2 separate regions of the Mus musculus genome follow, and region 1 is reported to be linked to region 2. Evidence: microRNA targets listed by miRTarBase, many of them from high-throughput screens and not tested one by one. Region 2 holds a microRNA gene; the other region holds the end of a gene's coding sequence.

Region 1 (4,277 bases), not on the chromosome of region 2:
CTCAGATTCCCCGGGGCTGAGATCAAGGGGCCAGTCAGAGTCTTTTTCTGAATTTGAGCTTTTTTTCAAGACAGATGCCCTGGAGTTCACTCTGTAGACCAGGCTGGCCTCTGCCTCTCAAGTGCTGGGCTCAAAGGCTTTTCACCACGAGAGCCTGATTTGGACTTTATAACTGCTTTCTGGCCTGGTGGAAGGGTTCTGTGGCAGGACTGAAGCTCGGAGTTTGACTCTTGAGCCTCATGTGGAAGGAAAAGGAAACTGACAGGCAGAAGCTGTTCTTGGACCTTCAGGAACTCACTACGGCATGTGTACGCTCATCCACAAAAATAAAACGTAGTTATTAAACAAACAAACAAACAAACAAACAACAACAAAAAACCCGAAACAAAACTTGTCAAGCTGGAATGTAGCCTCAGCACTGGGAAGAAGACACACATAGTTACACAACACAATACCCCTCAAAATAAAATTTAAAAGGTTTGGCCAAATAGTCTTTTTCCTTACTACAAAAACCTATCTAAGATGCTGAAGGCTTCAAAGGAGCACGTGAAGACCGGTGCAGCCCGGCGGCAGCTCCTGCTAGCGGCAGCGCTAAAAGCCTAGGTTTGAAGTGGAGAACCTGCGATAAGTTTCTGGTGCACTTGCTACATTATGACGTTTCTGCATGTGTCTAAGATCATCTTTGATGATTTAAAAACTGAAGACAGGAGTGGAGAGATGGCAAGCAGGTGGGAGCAAACCCTGCTCATGTGGAAGCCCTGGGTTTAGCTCCTAACACGCCCCACCTGTAATTCCAGCTCCCATGCAATGCCGTGTTCTGACACTGTAATACATGTGCACATACCCCCACACAGATACACGCAACTAAAAAACATATCAGTCTAAAAACCTGAAGTTAAGGCTAGGTGTGATTAGTTCAGGCACTTTGGAGGCAGAGGCAGGCAGAACTCTGAGTCAGAGGCTAAGCTGGTCTACACGGGGAGTCCCAAGACAACTAGGGCTACACAGACAGACCCTGTCTCAAAACATACAGACAAGCAAAATAATGAAACAAAACTGGAGTTATAGGAACATTTACCACAGCAACTTATTAAGCTTAACGCAGGTTTTGTGTTTGGTGGGTGACAGGAATCTCATACTGTCTTTATGCTACAGACAGCAGAGCATGCTGGAGTCAGGAGGAGGTTAAGGAATGCTCACCACAGGAGGTGCTTCTACACTTAGCAGGCGAAAAATACACCATTTGCAGTCTTCTTTTTTTCTAGCTTGTCAGGAGGATGGGACAAGGCCAGTGGTCCTCAACCTTCCTAACGCTGTGACCCTTGAATACGGTTCCCCATGTTGCGGTGATCCCCCAACCACGAGGTTATTTTCATTGCTACTTCATAACTGTAATTTTGCTACTGTTATGAATCATAATGTATTTTAGGAGACAGAGGACTGCTAAGGGGCCATGACCCACAGGTTGAGAACCACTGAACTATATGTTCAGCATCCAAATAAATGGAAGTATCCTTCTTCAGAGCCCCACACTCCAGATTATGTGTACATAAGATTCCAGACCCATTCCATGGCAGTGTCTGATTGAATAAACTGCAGATGGGGCATGCAGCTGGAGTGCAGAGGAACAAAATAAGACTTATGAGATGGAGTCAGAAGGCCCGAGCTCTCTCCAAGTTTCAGGAATATCAAACCATCCACTTGCAAACTTTCTGGGCTCCTACTAGCTAGACTTAAGTAGTAGTATCTTTGGAGACATATAACTATATATTTATGATAGTGGTTAATGAAACCAGGCAACCATGGGACAGAAGAGATATCTCACTGCTTCAGCGGGAATCCAGGACAAATGAACAGAGTTTAGGGCTTGATTAGTCTCCTAGACTTTTAGCTTAGGAAACCATTTTTTTTTTCCTTAAATATTCTATCCTGAAGCAAGTTTTATAAATAAATCCCAAAGACTTAATATAATTCACACTTAACATCTTCTTTCTTCAAATAAACACAAAATAAAATAGTGAGGCAAAGAGATGAAACAATTGCAAAGTAAGGTGGGAATTCTGATGCTAGCTAGCTAACATATGAATTATACTAGTCTAAGCCTGGCAGCACGGTGCATACGAAGTTAATTCTAGCACTTGGGAGGCGAGGGTGTGTTGATCTCTTATGAGTCCAAGACTAGCCTGGTCTCCATAGTGAAGTCTTATCTCAAAATAAATAAGTAAATAAACAAGCAAACAAACAAACAAATAAAAATTTCATTGTTAATTTGGGCATTGCTTTTCAAGTATGGCCAGGTAACAAATTGTTAGTCCCTGTAAAGAAAAAAACATAAACCAACCAGCCAACCAAAAGCCAACAAAGGACAACCTTTCCAAAATCCATGAGGCAAGGTGACTTTTCATTTTTATTTATTTAGTTATGACTGTGACGACTACCCCAATTTCCTAGGAAGTTTTCTCTTGATACTGCTGCTGTTGTACCAAGGTATAAGGGCTCCAAGTCTCACAAGACATAAGGACCACAATTTTTGACTGCAAACCATGATGCTGGGTAATGTTTGAATGAAAACATTTGATATGGATGGTCAGATGAAAGATACCAAAATGTCAGACAGCCCATCGACTGCTGTTGCCATGAGATTCAACAGTCAACATCAGTCTGATAAGCTATCCGACAAGGTGGTACAGCCATGCGATGTCACGACCACGACAGGGGGCAAGCACGAGGTGCTCAGGCAGGGTTTAAAGCAAAGCAAACATCTCTGGTTTGCTGGGGCTTAATGCCAATTCTAGGAAAGAAAGCTGTTTATTTTCCTACCAGGCAAAACAAAATGAACAGGGTCAATCAAAAAAATGTCAAAGGAAAATCACATTGAAATAAAACACAGAAATCACACAGAGAAGTAAGCTTCCACCTGTTAAAGCCGGAGTACAAACAGCTAAAACTAACATGAACATGAAAAAGCCTTTCTTGCTAGTGTCCTCTGATTTATACATCACCACTTCTTGTTTTTATAAAGTAAGAGATTCCCACTCTAGGTGAACCTCATAGTCCCGCTTAGATCTCCAGCCCAACAACAAAACACCTTGGAGGTAGCTCTCTCAGGCAATACATAAAAGCCTGGGCAATTCTGGTTTAAGTCTAATTGGCAAGGCTGCCACTCGCTTTGTAGAAGTGAAAAAGAAACAAAAAACCATAGCACTAAAGAAAACGGACACAATTTCGGAATGATCAAAGATGTCTTTATAAAGTTTTTCACGACTTCATTCTAAATATACAGAATAAAAAATGGCGTACTCATTTGTGAGACACCAACCAGATTTTCCTTATACTGTTTCAAAATTTAAAGATCAATTTCCCCAGAGGGTGTGCAATGCGTCATAAAATGGCCTTTTTGAGGGTGGGAAAGGAAGGCATATTAAATTGTTCCATGATAGACATGCAAGATTGCTATCCAATATATATAACTTATATACATTTGGTGACTTAGAAAAAAACAATCATTTGTGACAAGCCTAAAAAGCCTGACATATTTAACATACTTCAGAAGGTTCTGTGTGGCCCTGTGAAGGTATCAGAAGGCCAGTTTTTGTTAAGTTTGCAGCAGAACATCACATCCACCCTAAAGAATACGACGTGGATTGAACTGAGGGTGTAGACACCTTACCTTAACAAATAAAGTATGTCAGTGTAACATATGGACTAAACTGCTTTCAGGAAGAATGTTTTAAAAATCAACACAGGTTGGAAACGGGGACCTTCCTTCCTGGTTAGAGCCCTCCCAGTGTAAGGCAGGACTCCACCATGTTAACTTCTGCAGATAAAAACTCTCTGCTTATTTAGTTTTCTCCTCTGAGTTCAAGCGCTGCTGGATTCGTTTGGCATAGTTTTGTGCCATGGAGTTAATAATAGACAGGACAAAGTAACACACCATTGCAACCACCAGCTTCTCAAACATCCAGGATAACCAGTTTTCTCCCTGTAGGAAAGAAAGCAGAACAATTCAAGAAAAAGGGTTTCCTCGGTTCAACACTAAGGAGATTATTTGCAACACTTCAAGGGAAACAATGAGAACTTGAGGCTTGCCTATTATACCCAAACAACTAAAAACCGGTCTCTAGGTAGGCTGAAATCCACATTCAGGCCAAGCTTTTCCACACTAGGTTGTCAGTTCAAGCTGTGGGATGGATAGCTGATGCTAACCTGTATGGCTTAGGGAGGGATGGGAGGGTGGGCTGTCCTTTTACACTGTGACAGAGTGGTCTGGTTAGAGT
Region 2 (4,277 bases):
GACAGCCCCTCAATTACTGCAGTGTATGGATGGATTGCCAGTTTGGCTGTCTTCTTGATTATAAAAGATGCAGTTTTTGCATGGTGTTAGACCAAGAATATCTGGTTTAGGACGTTGTTTTGTAGTTTTAATGTATAGGCTATCATTGATATCATGCCCTATACTTACAATGGAATATGGGAGGGTTGAAGATGTGTGCCTGGTTCAAGCAGGTATCATTTGTTTCTTAGGCCACATTATCTTGAGGTATTAATGTGGCAGTGTCTTCCTAGTCCAGTCTTCTTCACCAATATATTCTTGAAAAAATTCAAACAGTGTTCTTGACAATGATTTTACACTAGCACAGGTAAACTATAGATAAGATGTTCAGTAAGTACTTTTGAATTGCTTTGAACTGACTTAGTAACAAAAGCTGTCTAGTTATCAGTTGAAAAAGCAGCCACTAAGAGGCCTCTGTGTTTTAGAATAGGCTTTTTATTTTAATAAAAGCATATAGCAGAAAAAATATCCTTTTTATTGGATAGTATGTGTCTTAGTTTGGGTTTCTTTGCTGTGAAGAGATACTGTGATCATGGCAACTCTTATAAAGGCAAACATTTAATTAGGTGCTGGCTTACAGTTTCAGAGGTTCAGTCCATTATCATCATGGCTGGAAGCATGATAGCATCCAGATACACATGGTGCTGGAGAAGGAGCTGAGAGTTCTACATTTTGATCTGAAGGCAGCAAGGAGGAGACTATCTCTTGCATGCAGCCAGGAGGAGGGACTCATCTGCACTGGGTAGAGCTTGAGGACTAAAGAAGACCTCAAAACTTGCCTACACAGTGGCACACTTCCTTCAACAAGGCCACACCTCCTAATAGTGCCCATGGGCCCAGCATATTCAAACCACCACAATGCTACACCATTATTTTGAATGAGGAAAAAAATTATGCACCCCAGTAGGTGGCCAGAAAAAGTTTGCCCTTTATTGAAACTTTTTTCTATTCGTCAGAAGGAGAACCTTTAAACCATTCCCTTTTCTTGGTGTTTCATAAAACTAATTAATATACTATCTTCAGCTTTTAAAATTCTAAGTACATTTGGATGCTTTTTTTGTTAAGTACAGTTGATAAAACATTTTCTTTTTAAAAAAATTTTTACTAGATATTTTCTTCATTTACATTTAAAATGCTATCCCTAAAGTCCCCCATACCCTCCCCCCCACTCCCTTACCCACCTACTCCCACTTCTTGTCCCTGGCGTTCCCCTGTACTGGGGCATATAAAGATTGCATGACCAAGGGGCATCTCTTCCCAGTGATGGCCGACTAGGCCATCTTCTGCTACATATGCAGCTAGAGACACGAGCTCTTGGGGGGTACTGGATAGTTCATATTGTTGTTCCACCTATAGGGTTGCAGACCCCTTCAGCTCTTGGGTACTTTCTCTAGCTCCTCTTTTGGGGGCCCTATGATAACACATTTTCTAATTCAACTAATACATCAAATCTACTTTGAAGACTAAAACTGCAGTGTTAACTCTAGCAGAGCTTTGTGTTACTTTTGTTTGTTTTTGAGATAGAGTTGTCTTTATAGTTCAGATTGACCTGTACTCATTCTTTAGCCCAAGCTGGCCTGGAACTCTGAATCCTCGTGCTTTAGCTTCTCAAGTGATGTGATTATATGTATGTGCTACCATGCCCATCTGCTTTATGTCATTTTACTCACTGTGGTAAGTGTAATTTATTTGAATTCAGGATAATCCTTAGAATTTAGTACTAAGAATATAAGAATGTATAGGCCAGGCATGGGGGTACATGCCAACAAACCCAGTGATAGGAGGATAACAATACCAACTTCAGACATACAGAGTTCTAGGCTATAGCTTAGGCCATAGGGGACTCCATTTCAAATATCCCAAACTAGGAGCATGGGAGAGAGGAGATGCATATTATGAAGGATTTGCAATTGTTTGTGAAATAAATCTCACCTTTGTTTGAAGGGTGCTATATGGTATTGACATTGAAAAAAAATTACTTTTCCGAGGTCAATAAGCTAGCCAGCCTTGGAGTTGATTGAGTCTGTATATGCTACTAATAGAAATCATACCTTTTCAGTGCTTCCACAACCATGCTTCCCCATAATGAGTCATTTCTTTTCATATTGCTGAAAGCATTCCCTGTTTGTCACTTGCAGAAGAGCAACCTCCGGTAGTAAATTGATGCACCCAGTGGGGGAGCCAGGAAGTATTGATGTTTCTGCCAGGTTAGCGTCAACACTTGCTGGTTTTCTCTCTGGAGTATCACCAAGTTCGTGGATTCTGTTTGTACTTCTATAACTGCTCAGATCTCCATGTTCCATATATTTGTCCATGTTTTCCAACATTCATTTGCACCTTTCTCACATCTCATCCTGTACATATCTTAGTTCATAGGCAGTAAGTATAAATATCCTCTTAGGCAGTATAATTCCACATAGCAAGCACACTAATGAGTATTTTTATTATAATAGCCCCATATATAAATAAACATACATACGTAACACATACATATATGGAGAGAAAGAAAGTCTTGGGATAATAAATTTAGGGCAATATTTGTAACTATTCTTTTATTTTGGGATTAGTTTTGAGTTGAATAATCAAGGAAATCCCCAGAAATATATTTCTGGTTAGTCTCAAGTTTCATGCTATTTACTGGTGTAAAGGAAAAGTAACAATTTTGCAGCAATCCTGTAGATCACCAGGGAGTAGAAGCCAGTAGGGAATTGTCACAAATAAATAACAGCTGGCTAGAAAAGATTATATAAGGTATACCTGTTGTGTGAGCAGTGGGCATGTCTTTTAAGCTTCACAATTAATCTGCTTTGTGGCAATGTGGATTAAGTTGTTTGTAGTATAGTGCACAATTTAATTTACTTCAGCTCATTTTCCTTTCATTTTAAAGAAAACAGGCTGGGGAGATGGCTCAATGGACAAAAGCACTTGATTCAGATCCTCAGAACCCACAAAACCAGCTAGAAGTGGTAGTTCAAGAGTTTGTCATCCATTCAGGTGTAGTGTCACAAAGCTTTGAATTCCAGCACTTAGGAGGCAGGCAGATCTCTGAGTTGGAGGCCAGCCTGGTCTACAAACCAAGTTCCAGGATAGCCAGGACTATACAGAGGAATGTTGTCTCAAACAAAGCAAAACAAACAAACATTAAGTCCATATTCTCAGTGTAGCCTTTCCTACTGGGAGATTAGAGGCTGAGACCAGAGAATTTCTAGAAGTCTACTCACCAAAGCTGGAGCCCTTGTATTGAAGTAACATTTGAAGGTTGATACCCCACTCTCTCTTTCTCTCTCTTCCTCCCTCCCCCCCTCTTACACACACACACACACACACACACACACACATGGGTGGGGAGGGATTGACCTAGCCTTTCAAGTAACTAGGACTATGCCACTGTGCCTACTAGCTTAAATTTCTTTTCTGACAATATTTTATGAGTCATAAGCTTTTATTTGAATATTCATGTCCTGTTAAGGGCTATAGAGGATTATACGGTACAAGCTCTGTTCTTGAGATAGAAGATATACATGTAAGATCAATCTTTATATGAAGTATCTGATTGATACTGACTAGTTGAGTCAGGGATGCATGTAGCCCAGGTAGCCCAGGCTGATCTCAAACTCCCAAATCTCCTGCCTTCCCCCTTCTCAGTGTTGGGAATCGTGGACATGCATCGTCATGCCTGGCTTTGGCCTCTTGAGTAGCATGTGAAGTAGACACTTGCAAAGAGAGAGGCATCGACTCTTCTTCACTTTAGTTGACCAATACTAATCAATTTCTCGTAGTTCTACCCACATCACCTAATCAATTTCCCCAAAGTTCTTCATAATATCATGATGAGAGCTAGACTTCAGCATATAAATTTGGGAGGGAAGGGTCACCAACATCTAGTCCATAACATAGCTGGAAGAGTTGTTCAGTGCTTTGTTTCCTATGATAAAATTTATAATTTATAAAAGGTAATGATAAAACTGGATATCAAGGTGCTTTAGGTTTCTACAACTGCACAAAATTTCCCATAAACTCGTTTCTGAAATCCATGATTCCAGGGCATTACTCTGCTGATTTGGAACAGTAAAATGGGGACCGGAATGAAATTAACATTTGAGGCAATAAATCACTACTTCATACAAAACTATGTGGTTGGATACTTCAATGGCTTAAGTAATGGGTAGATACCTTCAGAAACTTCATATGTCTAGGGTAGTGATTTATTTATTATCTTGGGTGTTGGTGGCCATATT

The links. Region 2 holds the annotated microRNA mmu-miR-505-3p (CGUCAACACUUGCUGGUUUUCU, at 2,252-2,273, shown strand). A microRNA usually pairs through its seed, bases 2 to 8, with sites in the 3' UTR of a target mRNA and lowers its output. Matches are read on the target gene's strand: a 7mer-m8 pairs with bases 2 to 8, a 7mer-A1 pairs with bases 2 to 7 and ends in A, and an 8mer does both.
Region 1: the mRNA of Vmp1 is a reported target of mmu-miR-505-3p. Seed matches in the 3' UTR shown: 7mer-m8 at 2,650-2,656.

Annotation. Positions count from the first base shown.
Region 1 is chr11:86,581,470-86,585,746 of GRCm38, forward strand. It overlaps Vmp1 (vacuole membrane protein 1), which reads right to left. Exons shown (of 12, transcript NM_029478.6): 12 at 2,389-3,982. The coding sequence ends at 3,839. Mir21a (microRNA 21a) reads right to left here and starts at 2,689; the gene lies at 2,598-2,689.
Region 2 is chrX:60,392,412-60,396,688 of GRCm38, reverse strand. Mir505 (microRNA 505) reads left to right here and starts at 2,197; the gene lies at 2,197-2,286. The region is part of intron 1 of Atp11c (ATPase, class VI, type 11C); the gene reads left to right.